Linked DNA regions of Coturnix japonica. The protein of the gene in region 2 interacts with the protein of the main gene of each other region in a pairwise test. Links are inferred from orthologs where the notes say so. Each region holds a gene or a part of one and is shown on either strand. Other genes may lie near its edges.

What was found.
Region 1: the proteins of NAB2 (region 2) and TCEANC interact in binary tests that used the Homo sapiens proteins (3 or more experiments, as listed by UniProt). The two-hybrid records come from large-scale screens. The link is inferred for Coturnix japonica from reciprocal best matches to the Homo sapiens genes NAB2 and TCEANC.
Region 3: the proteins of NAB2 (region 2) and TCHP interact in binary tests that used the Homo sapiens proteins (3 or more experiments, as listed by UniProt). The two-hybrid records come from large-scale screens. The link is inferred for Coturnix japonica from reciprocal best matches to the Homo sapiens genes NAB2 and TCHP.

What each region holds. Positions count from the first base shown.
Region 1 is NC_029516.1:110,837,302-110,843,464, reverse strand, and holds the start of TCEANC (transcription elongation factor A N-terminal and central domain-containing protein), read left to right. Parts: upstream 1-1,724; 5' UTR 1,725-1,743; exon of another isoform or gene 1,744-1,838; intron 1,839-1,855; exon of another isoform or gene 1,856-1,978; intron 1,979-2,498; exon of another isoform or gene 2,499-3,471; intron 3,472-4,548; 5' UTR 4,549-4,642; intron 4,643-6,163.
Region 2 is NC_029544.1:1,652,856-1,659,111, forward strand, and holds the start of NAB2 (NGFI-A-binding protein 2), read right to left. Parts: upstream 3,836-6,256; 5' UTR 3,027-3,835; intron 2,469-3,026; 5' UTR 2,461-2,468; coding exon 1,675-2,460; intron 1,590-1,674; coding exon 1,456-1,589; intron 1,065-1,455; coding exon 1,013-1,064; intron 862-1,012; coding exon 744-861; intron 661-743; coding exon 466-660; intron 169-465; coding exon 1-168. Other genes in the region: NEMP1 (nuclear envelope integral membrane protein 1), read left to right, coding at 4,562-4,628, 5,264-5,415, 5,506-5,725, 5,963-6,035. UniProt on the Homo sapiens protein: Acts as a transcriptional repressor for zinc finger transcription factors EGR1 and EGR2. Isoform 2 lacks repression ability.
Region 3 is NC_029530.1:5,973,559-5,979,814, reverse strand, and holds the start of TCHP (trichoplein keratin filament-binding protein), read right to left. Parts: upstream 3,428-6,256; 5' UTR 3,382-3,427; coding exon 3,019-3,381; intron 2,836-3,018; coding exon 2,779-2,835; intron 2,580-2,778; coding exon 2,511-2,579; intron 2,128-2,510; coding exon 1,954-2,127; intron 1,508-1,953; coding exon 1,395-1,507; intron 1,001-1,394; coding exon 934-1,000; intron 522-933; coding exon 349-521; intron 135-348; coding exon 53-134; intron 1-52. Other genes in the region: GLTP (glycolipid transfer protein), read left to right, coding at 4,113-4,215, 4,693-4,754, 4,851-4,984, 5,107-5,257, 5,469-5,651. UniProt on the Homo sapiens protein: Tumor suppressor which has the ability to inhibit cell growth and be pro-apoptotic during cell stress. Inhibits cell growth in bladder and prostate cancer cells by a down-regulation of HSPB1 by inhibiting its phosphorylation.

The DNA.
Region 1 (6,163 bases), on a different chromosome or scaffold from region 2:
TACGCAAGGTTTCAGAAAGTTCAAACCACAGCTTTGGAGCTTGTGTCTAGGGATTTTACAGGAAATGCCTGTCCATCAGCCCTTCTGCCAGAACACATATTGTCTGGGCTGTTCTGAAGAGTCAATTGTTACAACTCCAAGAATAGGCAATAATAAGGACAGTCTAAAGCACATCCTTTGGGAAACAAATTGAAGGAAGAAGGTTTTAAAGGAATTCATACATATTTTCTTTCAAATAATTCCACTATAAATGTTTGTTGAATGGGAGTACATCTCTGCAAAATTTCACTGCTAATGCTTGACCAATACACAACATCTTCAGAACTGTTAGAAGAAAGATTTCTATTTCATTAAAAGGAAACACATTGTTCTGTGATTCTATTATTGCACTGTTCTCAGGAACTGCAAACTCTTTCATAAATGTACATCTAAGTTAATAAACAAAGTAATCATTGTGGCAATCTTGCAAGTTTCTTGTCTGATGGCACAGATTAACTGTTCACCAATTGTCTAACCAACATTTTCCCAAATATTTCTGTGGATATTTAACAATTTATCAGCTGGCAGAGTATCTTATCTTGTTTAATAGAAGTCTATTCTTTTTAGAGAAGTAGATACTTAGCACAGCCAACATTGAAATCTCAAGGAAAGCAAGCTGTTACTGTAGCACTGATTTTATCCTGGAAAACCCTGCAAAAACACAAAGATATGTATATATACCATTACACAAGTATATGAATATAACAAGTATATCATGTTTATCCCTTGGTTTACTTAGGAGTAACTGAAAAAGCATTATTGCAGAATCATAGAATTGTAGGGGCTAGAAGAGACCTCTAGAACTTTTCTAGTCCAACCCCCCTGCCAAAGCAGGCTCCATAGATCAGGCTGCACAGGTAAGAGTCCAGGTGGGTCTTGAACATCTCCAGAGGAGAATCCACAACCTGTCTGAGCAGCCTGGTTCAGTGCTCTGTCACCCTTACTGTGAAGTTCTTACACACATTTGTACGTAACTTCCTATGTTTCAGTTTGTGACCATTTCCCCTTGTCCTATCACCACACATTGCTGATAAGAGTCTGGCCTCATCCCTTTGCCTCCCGCACCTTAGGTATTTATAGACATTGATCAGATCCCCTCTCAGTCTATTCTCAAGGCTGAACAGACCCAGGTCACTCAGCCTTTCCTCATAAGAGAGATGCTCCAGCCCCTATATTTTCTGGAACAGTGATTAATTAGACCAAACATAGTTTAATGGAGAAGGCTGTGAGTAAGGAACCTCCCTCAAATAGTGGCATCCTTTGTTCTGATCTCTGTTCCTGGGAAGACTCCTCACACAGGGCTAATCATGCTCCTTGTGTCTTCCCTGCTAAAGGAAGACTGCGCCAGTTCTGAAAAGCCATGCTGTCTTCTTCCAGTTTTTCAGCTCCTCTTCTGTACAACTTCAGACTTGTCCCACACTTTGTTGCTGCACAAAAACAAGGCAAAAAAGGAAGCCTGACTTCAACTGCGTAACCAGTTGTGTATAATACACGGAACGAGGTTGACCACTGTAAAAGCATTACGTCACTCACGTATTTACCAAAAGGGCTGTTTCTGCCTGGGAATCGTCCTTGGTAAGAGGCAGGAGCCTTTCTTGTCAGTAGAGGGCAGCATAGGCCTCATCAGTGAATAAAACCAAGCTCATTTACGTAAAAATCATACGGATTTTCACCGTAATTGCGAATAAACCCTATCATACGCCCGTAAGTTTGCCAGAAATACACATCTTTCCCAGAATCACTGTGAATACTCTGCGTACAATGCATGCGAAAGAATAAAAGGCCGTGGCATTGCTCCCCCCGGGTCCCGCCGGCACCAGGCCGCGCTGCCCCCCCCCCCTACCCGGCCCGCTCGCAGACATGGCGGAGCGCAGCGCGGCCTGGGAGGTGGGGAGGGTTGCGCCGCATTGAGGCCCAGCGCGGAGGTAACGGGGTACGGGTCCGTATTGCTGCATATTCCCCAGCGACACAGCTTTCTCTTAACCGATATTGCTCGAGGGTGAGGCCGAGGGAGGCGGTGGGGCCTGGCGCAGTGTCCGAGCACCGCGGGATGGGTGCTGGGCGGGCCCGGTTGGGGGAAGAAGAGGCGTCAGTCAGTGTGTGACAGGTGACAGGAAGAGGGGAAATGGACTTGGATGCATTTTTACTCTGTCTTGGTTTATCAGTGGAAGTTTTCTGCACTAAGGAAAAGTGGACTATGGTTTTGAATCTGTGAAGGTGTATGGCTGGAGCAAGGCACTTACCCCAAATGATTTTGGAGAGGGCAGGTTTTTTTCCCCAAGGGTTAGCTTCTTAGTTTTAAAAATGAGACAGTGGAGATTTGGGTTAGATCTGAGGAGGAAGTTTTTCACACAGAGGGTGGTGATGCACTGGAACAGGTTTCCCAAGGCGGTTGTGGATGCCCCATCCCTGGAGGCATTCAAGGCCAGGCTGGATGTGGCTCTGGGCAGCCTGGTCTGGTGGTTGATGACCCTTCACATAGCAGGGGGGTTGAAACTACATGACCATTGTGGTCCTTTTCAACCCAGGCCATTCTATCATTCTATGATTAGTTAGCAGAAAATCTCTCACACTGGTTTGTTTGTTTGTTTTTCCCCCATGCAGTGATTTTCATTTTTAAAACCTTTGGATTCAGTACAATGTTTTGGGATGACTGTATTTCAAACCTGAGGTAGTCTGTTTTATTTATTTTTTTGTTTGTTTGTTTGTTTTCTCCTTAAAAGCAAACTGACTTACTAGATTTTTATTGATCACCATTGCTAATTCTTGTACATGCAGTGACTCATTATGCCATGTGGTCAAGTGTGAGAGATGGTAATGATTTGGCAAGAAAGTACCTCAGCAGCACAGTATTACAGAGCCTAATTGAAAATGCAAACCAGTTTCTATCTTCACTTAGAATTCAGATGGATGTTCCCATACTTTGCTGAAATTAAGCAGAATGGAAATGCCTTGTGTTACTTCTTGGAACAAGGAAGACAGCAGAAAACTGCTGACTGTTTGTTCAGCAGCATTTGCCAAATAGCATTAAATCAAGTGGGGTAGTGGTAAAATTCCAAATGTTTTAAATGTCGGATGAAAAAACAGTGTATGGCACAAAGACTGGATGAGGGATTAAAACCTTCCCTCCAGTCTGTGACCAGGCACCTTTGGGCCTACAGGGTGTTTTGTTGTTGTTGTTGTTGTTTGTTTGTTTGTTTTTTGAGGGTTTATTTTGCCAAATATTATGCAAATAGGTATCTTAAAAATGTAAAATTTCCTAAAGGCCATAGGGAAATCGTTTTATCCCCAAGGCTGGGCTTTCTCATTGTGCACTATTACACAAGGCTGCATGGGTTTGCTGTACTACAGCCCCCTCAAGTGGTAAAACATTTTCCCATTTAAAACTGCAGCCAACTCCACCACCTCACTGTTGTGCCATGCTCCAGAGAGGTGAGTAAGTTTCATTGTGTAAGCTTCATAACTAATAATGGATATTTGTAGACTACCAGCAGTTGTTTTAGACTTCTGTTTTCCTATTTGCTGAATAACTTGCTTCAATCAGTGCTTTTGCATATCTGACAGCAGAAAAAACAACAACCCCTTGGCGGCATGCAGGGTGTCTGACTGTTCCCTAGATTAGAACAAGCTTACAGAATTCCATCTACAAAACAACCAAAGAAAGTATTCATGTACCTGGGAGAAGAACATAGGCTGTAGATTTTTGGTTTTGCCATTATGCTGCAAAACATCAAAGCCCTGTTACACAGCAGAAACATCAGTGTTCAACGAATGTGTGAGTAAGAAAGAAAGAAAGGCTTACTCTGCTTAGGTTCAATGTGAACTTTGGCTAGAAAATACCCTCCAGTGTTGCCACTGCATCAGTAATTCTTTGTTTCTCCCTCTAAGAACATGGAAAACATGCAGTAGACTCAGAGTATTTACTTGTATCTGGATTCTAGAAATGTTCCTTGACATACTGACTTAATATGAAATGCTCTGCAGGATTCCCTGTGTTAAACACTCTGCCTCAACCTTTGAAGGAAGCCAGAAGTTTTAAAATGTACTGGGTTTGTGCTTGTTCTCAACATCAGCCTTGGTGATTAAAATCCAATTGCCACTTGTCTTACAGAGCAGCAGTGCAAAAACAGCATTTTTAGTTTCTCATCACACTGCCTTTTAATATGGAAGCTGAGATGAAATCTGTGATTGTCTAGGTAGTGGAATACTTTATGGTTATGGGTATGTATCACTTTTCAGCTTGAAGTATTTTAAGGTCTTTTGAAAACTGGGTACACACAGCAAAGCAGTGCCGTGCTGTGTGTACAATGCTTTCTCTTCAGAAACCCTTCTTCTCATTTGTCATTGATGAAGGCATACTTATTACTTTTACTTGGTTGTTTCCCTGCTGGTTGTTTCTTGTGTTTCTACTTGCAGATAATGAATATCCCACTCCGCTGAAGATGTTAATTACAGATTTCAATTCTGGTCTTGTCATGTGTTTTGATGACTTTTTTTCCTTTCACACAGTTCTGCTGAGTAAGAGGGTCACCCAGTTCTCTTTGCTGTTTGTCATACGAGCTGAGGAAAGCACTTCCTCAGAAGTGATTGTTTGGACATAAACGTGAGTAGTTTAGTGGCTAACTGAATTTCCAAAATTAGTTTTAAACTTCTATATTTTCATGCCCACATTCTGTTATCCATTTTTGTTCAGCTGCAACCATAACCTTTACTTGAATTTGCTGTTGGATAAGCTTGAAAAAGTAAATGCACCACTATGGAGATCTTAGGATTTCTAGGAATTTAACCACTGCATTACTGTGGGAAAAAGTCTTAAGGTAGAACATATATATTATATTTATCTAATCCAAGACAGACTACTAGAAGGTGAATGTTTGGGAGATGGGGAGCTGTCCTGCTGTAACCATGGCCACCCTGCTTAAGAAAACAATTCTTTCCACTCTTACAGACTCTGTGGTTGGTTACCAGAACAAATGAGGAAGGATTTGGCTATAGGTGCTTTATTTTATTTTATTTTACAGTTTTACAAATATATTTGAAAAAGCGTATCTCTGTTTTCTCTCTGTTTCTGAAACTGCTTTAGAAAAATAATTTCTGTTATAAACATTATTTGAGCTCTCACGGGGCTTCAAAATGTCAGGCAAGAATGAGCCGTTTCAAGACAAGTGAAGTGAAAGCAGACAGCGTTTGCTATGGAGGTCAGGCTGGTCTGTCGTCTGTGCTTGTAGAAACATAATGAAAGTTGATCCTCGCTGTCTTGTCCTTCTTTTCTTTTGAGCTCCAAGGCCCTACCTAATGTTTAAACTTATTTCTGGCATGCATAGTACAACTGAAAGCTGCGAAATGTGCAAATTGTCCAGCTTTCTTTCTTCCTCTTCTTTCCCCCCTTCCTGGGAGATTTCATCATGGAAATAGTGATGGTGCAAGAAATCTACTTGTGAGTTCCTTCAAATGTGCGTGTGTGTATCTGGCCTTGCATCAGTTTCCAAGTGCAAGTGACCTTTTATAGGGTCATGATATATACAACTTCAGCCAATAATTTTTTGCACAGATACTGAAGACTAAATCATAAGGAAAGAGGACGGGTGCTTACAACACACCACTCACTGTGCCTACACATTTAGTTCTGTTCAACAGCAGGAGAATAATGTTAGTAATGTCAGAATATATGGGATCATGCAATAAGGCTCTGGCTGGAAGACAATACATGTATCAGTATTAGGATACATGTGATGTGTCTTTAACTCTTAAGGATTTGCAAAAGTAGCAATTAGGAGTTTGCAGATGTTCTCAAATCAGTTTGTAGGTGTGACTGTTTTTGGGTAGCCTTGATGATCAAATTATAACGTAATAACAGAGCTAGAAAGGGAAAGAGCGACGACAGACATGTTAAAAGTTTACCAGTCTGATGTGCGTCCCTGGTTAGCAGCTGTGAAGAGATGATTTTGGAAGAGAGAGAATGCGTGATCTCTTGCATGACAAGTGAAAGGTTTAGGTACTGGTGGAAATCATGGGTGACGTAGGAGCCAGAGTGTGATTTGGGGCTTATGATCCACTGAGTTACATTAGTATCACTCCCTTAATCATACTGCAGACTAGTTCTTAACCTTAGCTTTACAGCTCC
Region 2 (6,256 bases):
GCTGCTCTGCCCCCGCTCTCCGCCCGTTAATTGCTTCGTTAGTCGTTTGGGGGGGGTCAGGGGGGGCCTTCACTGCCGGCTGTTTCTCCTGCTCCACCTTGATGGTGCCGGCGGGGGGGGTCTGGGGGGGGGCGGGGGGCCGCGCTCTGCCAATCCAATCCTCGAACTCTGTGGGGAGAGAGGGGTCAAAAACCCCACTGAATGAGGGGGGGGGGTCAAGCACAACCCACCAGCCCCCGATGGGCTCGCAATGGAGAGCGGGGGTGGGGGGCTCACCAAGGGGCGGGGGGCTCCATGATGGGGCCAGGGGGGCCTCATGATGGGGCGGTGGGGGCTCACAAGGGCTCATGATGGGCACACCTGGGGGTCTCCCAATGGCTGGGGCTCACATTGGGGGGGGGGTTTCACTTGGGGCTCCTCTGGGGGCTGGGCGGGTCAACAGTGGGCGGGGGGGGGGGGTCTCACCTGGGGGCTTCCCAGGCAGGCAGGGGCTGAGCCGCCCCACTCGTTCGTGGGAGACCAATCTCGCCAGGCGCAGCCCCTCGTCCATCAGCGTCTGCTGCAGAATGTGACGGCTCCAAAGCCCGTGCGGGGGGAGCGCGATGGGACCATCGGGGGCAACGCCGGGCGGGGGGGTCAAACGGGGACACAGCCCCACCGCTGCGAACAGACGGAAAGGGTCACAGCCCGGGGAGGGGGGAATAGGGGAGGGGGCGGCCCCGCGGTGCCCCCCACTCACTCACCCTGCCCGTCCAGGCTGTCTGCGGCCGCTCCCCCCGCATCCTCCTCATTGCGATAAGGGGCTGCGTGAAGCTCCGATCCCATTGAGGGGGGGGGGTCGGGGCGGCTCTGCTCCCCCACCTGCACGGAGCACACGGGTGAACACCGGGCTCCCCCCCCCCCCCGAGCCGTCACACCTACACGTGGGCGGCCGCTGCCCACGCTCACAGCTGTGCATGCACGCACACGCGTGTGCCCCCCCCCGATACACGCATCCCCCCCCCGCACCCACCTCCTGTTTGAGCCGCTTGGCCGCGCCGGCCCCGCCGTCCTCGGGCTGCGCCCTGTGCGGGTGGGAGCACAAAGGGCTGCGTCAGTGCGGGGGCAGCACCGCACGGTTCCCCCCCCCCACTCACGTTATGGGGCGGTGCTGTGGGGCACAGCGGGGTCTGGTACAGATGGAACCGGGGCGGGGGGGGCAGGGGGAGGGAGCAGAGCAGCGCCAGCTTATGGAGGTGGGGGGGGGGAAAGGAGCTCGGGACTGGGGGCTCCAACAGCATCCCCTGTGCTGTGCCCCCCCCCCCAACACACACACATTGAGGCACCAAACTGCCTCAGCAATGGAAAGGGGAACTCGCAGCCCCCACCCCCGCCCGGAATTGCCGGTGGTGCAGCTCCCATAGGGGAAACCCCCACTGGGGGGGGGGGGGGATGCTGAGGGCCCCCCCTGCTCACCTGGACACCTTGAGCGAGGACAGGTAGGTGCTCTCCCTCGCGACCTGTCGCGACAGCGAGAACAGCTCGACGCGCCGCAGCAGCAGCGAATTGTCCCGCAGGCAGAACTGAGCCGCAGCCTCGTTAATGATGAGCTGCGGGGACAGAGCCGTCAATAGCACCGAGGGGGGGGGTCACAGCGAGCCCCCAGCCCAGCCCGACCCCCACCCCGCCCCCCACCTCGTGCAGTGTCAGCTGTTTGCCCTCCCTTCGCCGCGCATCCCCTCGCCCGTAGATCGCGCTGTGCCGTCGGATCTCCTCCTCCTTGTGCCGGTCTCCGTCTTCCAGTTGGAAGATGTGCCCCACGGCTTTGGCCAACTTCTTATTGAGCTTCAACAGAGCCCGCAGCTCCGCGTCCCCCCCCCGGGGGCAGCTCTGCAGCAGCCTCTCCACGCTCTCCGTCACCGTCCGCACCAACTCCGGTTCCAACACATCGCCCCCCGACGGCTGCTCGGCGCCCCCCGGTGAGAACGGAGGAGCTCCGGGCTCCTCATCCCCTCCACCCTCCGATTCCGGGGTGCTCCTCCCCGGCCACGGCGACACCCCCGACGGCGACAACTTCTCCGACGGCTCCGTTGGGCTGCGGGCTGGGGGCGTCCCCGCGTTGCCCCCCCCTTTCCCCGCAGTTTCTCCGGGGCTGCTGTGCCCGTTACTGAGCGATTTGCGGCCGTCGTTCAGCTTGAAGAGGGGGATGCTGCTGACGGGCACGGCCGGTACCGGCTGGCTGAAGAGCCCCGGGTTGGACGCCCACTCCCGCAGCGCTTTCTGCAGTCGGCGGACGTGCAGCGGTTTGGTGGCCATTCCCACCAGCGCCATGATCTCTAAGAACTCCTCCTCGCCAGCCTCGCAAAGCTGCTGCACGTCGTCCCCTCCTTGTTGGATGAAGGTCTCGTAGTAACCCAGCAGGTTGGCACGTTGAAGAACCCGGTACAGCTGCAGCTCCCCCAGCGTGCGGGGCACGGCCATGGTGAAGCCTATGGGACAGACGGACGGACGGCGTGACGGGGGAAGGACGGACGGACGGACCCCCCCCACCCCCACCCACCTTTTGGCCTGGGGTCTCCACTGAGCATCCACAGCTGCACCGACCCCAACACAAACACGAGTGGGTCCCCATTGAGGAGCTTGGAGACCCCACACCCCGTGGCCCCACCCGTGCTCCCACCCCATGGGGCACCGCTTAGGGCAGAGCACACCCAGGGCTGCCCCAGTCCTTCTCTACCCCACGGGGACAGCAAAGTCTCAGCCCCCCCCTCTTTGGCCCCTACAGACCCCACCTTGCACCCAGGCCCACGCGTGCTCACTGATCAGGCTGGACCCCACACCCGCATCCCCCCTGATCCCAACACAGACACGAGTGGGTCCCCACGGCAGAACCATAAACCCCCCCCCACCATTCCCACATCACGAACCCACTCGTGCCCCCACCCCACGTGCAACAAAACACACCCAGCTCTACCCCAACCCCACGGGGACACCGATGTCACGACTCACCCTCCGACCCCCCCCCCGTTTCCCTCCCGTTCTCTCACCGCGGGCTGCAGCCCCGTCCGGCCGCTACGCGAACCCCGTGGGCATGGACGGACGGTACCGGGGGGCTCGGGGGGGTGTTCGGGGGTCCCGATTCCGGGCCGTGCTCGTTCGCTCCGCCGAGTCGCTCCGCTCTGCGCGCCGCCCACACGGGCGGTACCGAGAAATAGCAGCGGCCCCGGCTGCGGCTGCGGCGTGGGAGGCTCCGGAGGCGGAACCCGCGGCTGCCGCCCCCGCTGAGCGCGGCGTGGGAGGATGAAACGGGGGGGGGGGAACCGTAGGACCGCCCCATCCCCCCCCCTGAACCGAACCGGGACGGAGGGAGCGGCTGCGAGCAGGGCGGAACCGGGGGGTCCCGTCGGGCAGAGCAACGTGAAGACACGGGGGTTGGGGGTCCCGGGCAGGGGCTCGAGCAACCGGAGCCTACGGGGGGTGGGGGGGGGACACCGTATGTGAGTGGGATCACGGCTGTCACCGTGTCGGTGCCACCTCCCGGTTATGGGATCGCAGCCGGGTCCGGGCACCGGGTGGGGGGGGGGCTTCAGAGCGAGCAGCCCCGGGACAGAGCGGGTCCGGTTCGGTTCGTGGGAGGGGAGGAATTTCTCTGCCATCGCCCCCCCCCCCCCATGCTGAGCCCGGCTCTATTTATACCGAGCCGGCGCCGCCGCCCCCGCGGCCCCTGCCCCGCGTGGGGGGGGGGGACACGACAGCGCCGCGTTCCGGAGCCGTCGGGGGGAGGTGGGGGGGGGTCCCGTTCGGAACAGCCCATATAGAGCCCATATAGAGCCCATATATTCCGAACCCCATATAGACCCCATCTATGTCCGAATCCCTAAGACCCCCCCCCCAGGGCCATGCATGTCCAACCCCCCCCCCCCCCTCGTGTCCGGCCGCCCCCGTTTGACGCACATCCTCCACCACGACCCGCACGCTTCCGGCTCCGCCGCCCACTGACCCGGGGGCCGGCCCGTGAGCCCGACCCGCCCACGGAATGCCGAAGAGCCCAAGGGTATTGGGGGGGGGGGGTTAACAAGCCCGGGATCCAGCCCCTACGAGCCACCCCCCCCCCAGTGTGGGGTCCAATGAGCATCGCGCTGCCTCTGCCCGCTGTAGACCCCCCCCCCCAAGCAAAACAACGACGGTGCGCTCCGTGAATAAGGTGGAGGAGCTTGTCAATCAAGCCGGCTTGGTGGCGAGGGAGGGAGAAAACGATGCTGAGCGGCTGATTGGTTGAGGTGGGCTTGCTCTGTCCAAGCTCGTTGCTAAGGCGGGCTGCGTTGCCTACGGTGTGGGATGGCTTCGGGAGCGAGTGGAGCACGTTGGTGGAGTGTGGGTGGGGCTAAATCCGCATCCTGCCTAGGCTGTGCTGATAGGTCGAGCGCGCTGTCAATCAACACGCAGGGAGACGATAATCCCGTCACGGGTTGATGACGTCAGGCAAGCCTCGCTCTCTCATTGGGTGTTGTCCCGTGGGGAAAGCGGAAGCGGAAGTCGCCGGGAACGCCATGGCGGGAAAGCGGATGAAAGCGGTGCCAATATGGCGGGCGGGGCCTGGTCGTGTTTCTTGCTGCTCCTCGCGCTGCCTCCTCCGCCGGGCGGGGCCGGTGAGCGGCGGGCGGAACAATGGGCCTTTATGGGCTGAGAGCGGGCGGGCCTAGTGGGGGCCTATAATGGAGTCATAGAGCGGCCATAGCCTGGATCCGGCTTTAGAGTCTCGGGTGGGGATGGCGGGGGGTTGGGGTCTCCGGGTTTGGGGGCCTGGTCCGGTGTAAGGGCTCTGGTTGTGGGCTGGGGGAATGCGGTGGAGATGGGGGGTGGTGGGGGTCCCCGGGTGAGGGCGGGACTGGGGGGAACCAGGGGGATGGGAGATGGAGAATGGAGATGGAAGATGGGGGGGGGGAGTGAGTATGGTCCGGGTTGGGGTCTGTGTGGGGCTGGGGGAAACGGGGGGGAAATGGATGAGATGGGGGAGAGGGGTTGGGGGTCTCGGGTTGAGGGCTGTCTGGGTTAAGGGCGGTGTGAGATGGGGGGATGGAGAGTGCGAGAATGGGGGGGTGTTGAGGGTGCCGTTGGTTGGGGGTCCTGTGTTGGGGTCCTGGTTAAGGGGTGGTCCTGCCTCCATGTGCACCCAATGGGGCCCTTTGGGGGGGAGCAGCCCGCAAATGGGGAGGGGGTGTTGGGGGGGGGGGGTCTCGCATCGCTATTGTGTTAATTCTTCCTTCCTTTCTGTGCTGTGAAGATGCCGGTGGGATGGGGACGGTGCTGGGGAAGGGGCTGGAGGAGGTGACCCCGCTGCAGGAGGGCTCCGCGTTCTGCCATGACGCCTCCCATCATTTCTGCTACACCAACACACGCAGCCCCAGCTGGAAGGACATCTGGACCAGGATGCAGGTGAGGGGGGAAAGGAAAGGAGGGGAGGTGGGCTCTCATTGTACCATAGAGCTGAGCCCACCCCGTGTGTGTTTTCTCCCCCCCCCTTAGATCAGGGTGAACAGCAACCACATGATCCGCGTCACCCAGGTGGGCAGCGAGGAGGAGCTGAGGGAGCTGGAGGAATCCAAGGTTTGGAGCTTCCTCTCCTCGCTGCTGAAGGAGAAGCTGAACAGCACCAACATCGACGTGGATCTTTACAGCAACAAAACCTGCCTGAAGGTCGAGCTGCTGGAGGCTGGGACCAGATACTGCATCGTGCTGACCCGCTGTACGTCTGCTCTGTGCTTGGGCTGTGGGTCCTCCCATAAGGGACAGCAAGTTTGTTTTGTTGCATACAAAGAAAGATGGGTTTGTAGAGGAGGAACACTTCACTTCCTTGGGATAGAGAATAGGAGCACAGTGTACTTGACAGGGCTTTGCCTTGGGCATTGCCCCACCTTGCTTGCTGTCAGTGTATCAGGATGGAGCTTGCACTCCTCCTAACCTGGGTTTGTTCTCCTTCCAGGGTTTGACCCCAAACTGTTCCTGGTTTTCTTCCTGGGCCTGTTGTTGTTCTTCTGCGGGGACATGCTGAGCAGGTGAGTGGCCTCCTGTCCCCTGTGAGCTGGATTTGCAGGCTGACTCCTTTGTGTGGGTACTGTGGGAAGGCAGAGTATTTCTATCAGCTTCTCTATGCCTGCAGGGCTGGCCAGGCCAGGCCTCACTCCATGAGCTTTATGGGGCTCTATGCAATTCCCTCATGGATGTTTGGGAACGTGGGGTGCCTTTCTGTTGGTTCCAGCCAGCAGATGTGCTTGTG
Region 3 (6,256 bases), on a different chromosome or scaffold from region 2:
GGAACAACAGCTTTGTCAGACCAAGAGACACCTCATTAAAAGAAGTCATCACCTCATTCATCAGGCGATCTCTGGCCATCTTCTCCTTTGCCCATTGTTCTTCCCTCTTCTCCCACATTTTTCTAGCTTCTTCCCTGAAGGTGAAAGAAAGATTCCTTTCTGAGGTTACTCCTTACTTAAATAAACAGGCACATTTCTACAACAGCAAGGCCTACCAGGCACCTCTTTTTAGTGTCCACCTCTAGATGATCACCTATTTAACAAACAGAAATGAGCTCTGCCACATAGAGAAGAACATCCAGCACATACATTCCCTTTTGACGATGTATAACAGAGCTGCATACACACCTATAAATAACCTGTAGCTCTGCCTCCCTCTCCTTTTCTAACTGGAGCTGTTCCTCAATGACATTTCTCATCCAGGCAGCGTCTGCAACAGCTCGCTCTCGTTTTTCAGCCTTGTGGCGCTGATCCTCCTCTTCTTTCTCAAGGATGGCTAATAAGATTTGTCTGTCTGTTTCCTTGAGGGGAAAAAAAACCCCTAAAGATTAATAACCATCCAGCGGGCTTCCAGCCTGTGTACTTTAGTACTCTGTACAAATCATTGGTGACATAGTGTCAAGGGTGTCCTCAGAAAGACACTCTGACTGCCTGCTTCTCTCTGATCTTTTCACTCCAGCCCTGTTCATAAGCCAGAAGAGGCCTCCTAACTGCTTATCTGTAGGCACTGGAGGCAGACACATACATGAAACACAACAAGTTCCTTCAGCAGGCAGTATCTACTCAGGGGTATGATTTAGTGGAGGGTTTTTAGAGTCAGGGTACTGGTTAGGGTGCGGTTGGACTTGATGATCTTCAAGATCTCTTCCAACCTGGGTAATTCTATGATTCTATTATCTATATTGCACAAATCAGAAGGTATTTTCCTCTTACCAGCTCGTCCTGTACCTCCTGGGCTCGTCTCTTTAACTGGGCATCATATTGATGCAACAAAAAGCGACTGAAGGAAGAAAACAAAACAAATTCAGACCATCTCTAACGCCCTATTATATTGTATACCAGCATTCAGACCATCTCTAAAGCCCTATTATATTGTATACCAGCATTCAGACCATCTCTAAAGCCCTATTATATTGTATACCAGCATTCCAGAAAGTGCATTTACAACATTAAAATACACAGAGGCAACAGAGATACCTGCTACCTCTAACACGAGCAAAAAGTAGCAATGGCACCAATGCATTTATGCTCAGTAGCTGTTCTTGCACTTCCAACAAAACAAGCAAGCATCTGCTGCCCACCCCTGCTATCTAAAACATCTCCTCCTGCTGCAAGTACTATCATGGTCACAGGAAGAGATCCCATCCACCACTGCTTAGAGCTACATTGCATACCCAAGCTCAGTCTTCTTCCGGCGCTCTTCCATTTGCTTTCTTTCTTCTTCTAAGTTTCCCAGCTCCCACTGCTGCTTTAATAAATCCTCTTGCTCTTTCTTCAGCTTGGCTGCCTAACATTTTTGAAAAGGAGAAACAAACAATAACCAAGTGAGTGCTTCAGAGAGCTAAGACATCCCAGTGAGCCTCAGTACCAGCTTGTACCACACTCATAATCGTGGTAGATACTCCACACCATTTGCATCCTACTGACTCACAGCATAAGAGAGAAGGTGAGGAGCTTCAGCTGAAAAAGCTACTGCAACCTCTCACACTGCAGTGTTTCTACATCCAATACAGCACAGAAGGGTGCCCACATTTCAAGAGGTGCAAATGAAGCCTACGAGATGTCATTTAACATGCCTGTATTCACAGAGAGATCTGCATTACAAAGCACAGCTGACTTTGTTCCAAATCTAATCTAGGGGGAAATCTGGAAGGAAGAGGTCAAGTCAGCATTGCTGTGTTTCCAAGTGAAGCAATGAACTTTCTTCCTACACAAGGAGAAGCTGAAGGTTACCTCTGCCTCCCGTAATTTCAGTTCTTCTATCTGTTGAAGCAACAGCTCCCCTTGCTTCTTGTTCTCCAGCTGACGTTTCTCTTCCTCTTGTCTCATTCTTTCCTCAGCTTCCCTTCGTGCCATTTCACATTCATTTTCAAGAAGCTTTCTCTCTCCTCGTTCCGTTGCTTGTTGCTTATTGAGCCAAAAGAAAGCATTGCATTTCAGGTTAGACTAAACTCAAAGGAACAGCCTGTGGTTCAGGAGATGCTCAAATCAGCTTCCAGGAAGCTGACACCTATTTGAAGGACACAGGATAAGATGTGCTAGGGAAGGAAATGAGAAAATGAGACTAAATAGATCTGTTCAGCAGATAACATTGGATTTTCTAGGAGATGAGATACTTCCCATCAACTCCAAGCATCCTGCAGACACCAGAACCTCGCACCACTATGGGAACAAGCAAGGCCAACTCAGTCACTATATAGTACAAAAGAAAACAAATAGCCAGCTCCTAGTCCAGGTAGTACAGGAATACCAGCTGCTTACAGCCCACATTTCATGCAGCTCCAACATACCTGCTGCTTCTGCTTCAGCTGCTCACCCCAGGACTCCACCACGTTCTTCTTGTGTAGCTCTGACTCCACCTGCAGAGAGTCAGCGCTGTCAGAGCCTTTTTCTATTGCCAGCACCTGCAGACACCCACAGTCAGGGGATGGTGCTGTGAGCACTGATGGAGCTGTGGGTGTCCCTGAGCACTGCAGGCAGTGGGAACAGATGGACTTTGGGATAAAGCACCCTTGGGATAAAGCACCCTTGTGGGGATCCCGTGCCGTGACTCCTCACCTCCCTCAGCTCCTCGCTGTTCTGTTTCCATCTCTCCCGCAGCAGCTTCTCGGCGACCTAAGCACACACAGCAGTGTCAGTATATGGGTCCCACACAGCAGTGTCAGTATATGGGTCCCACACAGCAGTGTCAGTATATGGGACACACACAGCAGTGTCAGTATATGGGTCCCACACAGCAGTGTCAGTATATGGGTCCCACACGGCCCAGCTCAGCCCCATCCCCCCCATATCTCTCACCTGCCTCCTTCTCTCCTCTCGTGCCGCCCTCAGCTCCTCACAGCGCTTCCTCATCCCTCCATGTTCCTCCATCCCGCCGGGCTCCGCTCGTATCTCGGCCTGTATTTCAGCCTCCAGCGCGTCCCGCTCAGCGCCCAGCATCTCCCTCAGTCTCTCCCTGCGCTTCCTCATCCCTTCCTCCTCACCCCGCCCCGTGCTCGTGCCGCCCGCATTTTGCGGCTCGCTCCAACGGGCCTGAGCGGAGCAGGAGAACGCGGCGAGCTGGAAGGAGCGGTTGTACGTGTCCCATTGCAGCCGGTTCTTCGCCTCCCTCTCCCGCTGCCGCTCCAGGGCCCGGCCCAGCGCCGGCCGCCACTGCGCCATCACTAGGCCCTAATGTAGGCCGCGAGGGTCACCATGGCAACGGGTACGGGGAGCGCCGAGGGACAAAAAGCATCGGGGTGAACGAATTGGCCTCGCGGGTCGGGATGAGGCCGCAATACATGAGCTGCAGTGCTTTAAGTATTAATGGAGCTGTGAATATTTCAGCACGGTGGAAGGTTTGTGTTTCCTGGCCCTGAGCACAGCTGGGCGCTGTCAGGAGTCGCCCCACGCCTCATTCAGCGCATCCATAGCGCCCATAGGTGTCCGGCTGTATGGAGCTGTAACGGGATGCGGACGGGCCTCGTGCTCAGCCCGGTTCGGCTCATTGAGCTCCGTCCATCGGGACACCGGCTGAATCATTCACTGCCACCCGATCGCAGCGCCCGCAGTGAGCCCGGTGGGACGGCTGTGATTGCACCATAGGCACTGGGTGCTCCATAGGCACAGCGGACACCCCCCACCCCATCGGTTCGGGCTGGGGGTCCCGGTCCGGTCCCGGTCGATACCGGGATGGGCGCACACCGTAAGCCCCGCCCACATTGAGACAAGCCCCGCCCACCTCTACCATAAGCCCCGCCTACTCACCCGGACAAGTCCCGCCCTCTCATTCCTATTGGCCGCCTCTCGGTGGGCCGTGCTCACCCATTGGTTGGCTTCATTGATGGGCGTGTCTCGGCGTGGCGCGCTACCGGGTCGGTGCCGGGTCGGTTCGGTCCGTGCCGGGTCGGTTCATGGCGCTGCTATTAGAGCACGAGTTCCGGCCGCTGCCGGCGGACAAACAGATCGAGACGCTGCCGTTCCTGGAGGCCGTGTCCCACCTGCCGCCATTCTTCGGTAAGAGCTGGGCCAGGGGCTGTGGAACCTGCCGGACCGGGACCGGACCGAACCGGGACGCCGCCACCCGCGGGCACGGAACGCTCAGCAACACCAGCCCCGTCCGGTCCCGGGATCCCATTATAGGGTCCCACACCCCCCCAAGCTTCCACCCCCGCCCCGGTTCCGGTCCCGGTCCCGGTCCGCACCCCCCGGTCCCGCCCCCGGTCCCGCCCCAGTTGCGTCAGGGCCGGGTGTGGCGGCTCGTCCCGTCCGACCCGCTGAGCGACAGCGTTAGGAAACGGCCCGACCCAACCCCCGGGGTGTACAGGGATGGAACGGGGCCGAACGGGACAGAACGGGATAGAACGGGATAGAATGGGGCAGAACGGGACAGAACGGGGCCGAACCTCCGCTCCATACAATGCGCCATTGTACGGAGCCATACGGGGACAGCCGGGCACGGGGCGAAGCCATTGTGACCCCCTGTCCCCGCAGATTGCCTGGGGACACCCATCGTGTACTCACCCGTCAAAGCCGACCTGGCTGGGAACATCAAGGTATGAGGTTGTGGGGGGGGTCACCACCCCATGTACAGCACTGCAGGACCCGGCTGTGGGTGCCCACCTTGACCCCAAACCTCTGTACCCTTATAGAAGATCCGGGCTGTTTATGAGTCCAACCCCAGCAAGTTCAAAACGCTGCAGAACATCCTGGAGGTGGAGAAGGAAATGCACGGTGCTGCATGGCCTAAGACCGGAGCCACGCTGGCGCTGATGTGGCTGAAGAGGTGATTGATTGGGTTGTTATATCGCCCCTAATGTGGGGCTGGGGGTCGTGTAGGGCTCAGGGTCAGAGTGTCACCCCACAGCGGGTTTGGGGTCACGGTACCAGCCTCCTTCTCCCTGGCAGGGGCCTGAAGTTCATGCTGGTGCTGCTGCAGAGCATCTCCGATGGCGAGCGGGATGAGGAGCATCCCAACCTCATCCGTGTCAATGCCATGAAAGCCTATGAGATTGCCCTCAAGAAATACCACGGCTGGATGCTGCAGAAGCTTTTCATGGTGAGAGCCGGGGCAGGGGGTCATAGAACCATTAAGGTTGGGAAGGACCTCTGAGATGAGCCATCCTCTCCATGCCATGTCTCTAAGGTGCCATAAGCTGCTGCTCATGGGGTCACCCCGCTGTGGGGTGGGCAGTGGGACATGGGGGTCCCATTGGCTTTTGGGCATCCCCACAGCCAAGGCTCAGCTCTGCTCTCACCCCATCCCACAGGGCTCGGTCTATGCGCTGCCCTACAAGTCAGATCTGCTGAAGGCTTTGGAGAAAGGCAGAGAGGTGAAGGAGGAGGAGAGCATTGAGAAGATCCACCAGTTCCTCACCAGGGTGACTCCCATCCTGGATGCCATCTATGAGATGTACACCCGGATGAACGCCGAGCTGAGCTACAAAGCTTAATGGGGTCAGAGCAACAAGCGGGGCCGCTCCGCTCCTCAAACCCCATCCTGCTGCGGATCTGCACCCGACAGGCCTTTTTTTCTAACAAGAATCATTCATTTTCTATCGAAATTCAAGCAATAAACCAGTTGTACCCTGGGGGCACCTCAAGATTTCCCAAGCTTTTATAGCACAGAGGAAAAATATCCACGTTCCTCAGGAGCTGTTGCAGGGAATGACGTTTGATGGGTGGCCTCATCCTGTTGGTGCTGCTGGGCTTTGGGTCTCACACAGCTCCGGGCACCCAACACCTCTCTGACCCCACAGCAGAGGAACTGAGGATCCCAAGCCATGACCATCCCGTTGCCTCCAACCCTTCCAGCGCTGCAGATGGGAGCGATGCCGGGATGTTCCGAGCTCTATTTGCCGGATGCCTTAAGGACCTTTCACCAGCACAACTCAATAAATCTCACCTTAAACCTGGAGCTCAGTGCGGGGAGCGGGGCGGGGGCTGCGCCGGGGGCGGCCCTGGGGCGGGGAGCGGGGCGGGACGGGACGGGACGGGGACAGGGATGGGCCCCGCGGCCACGGCGGAGCTGCGGGAGCTGCGAGGGACGGACAGAGGG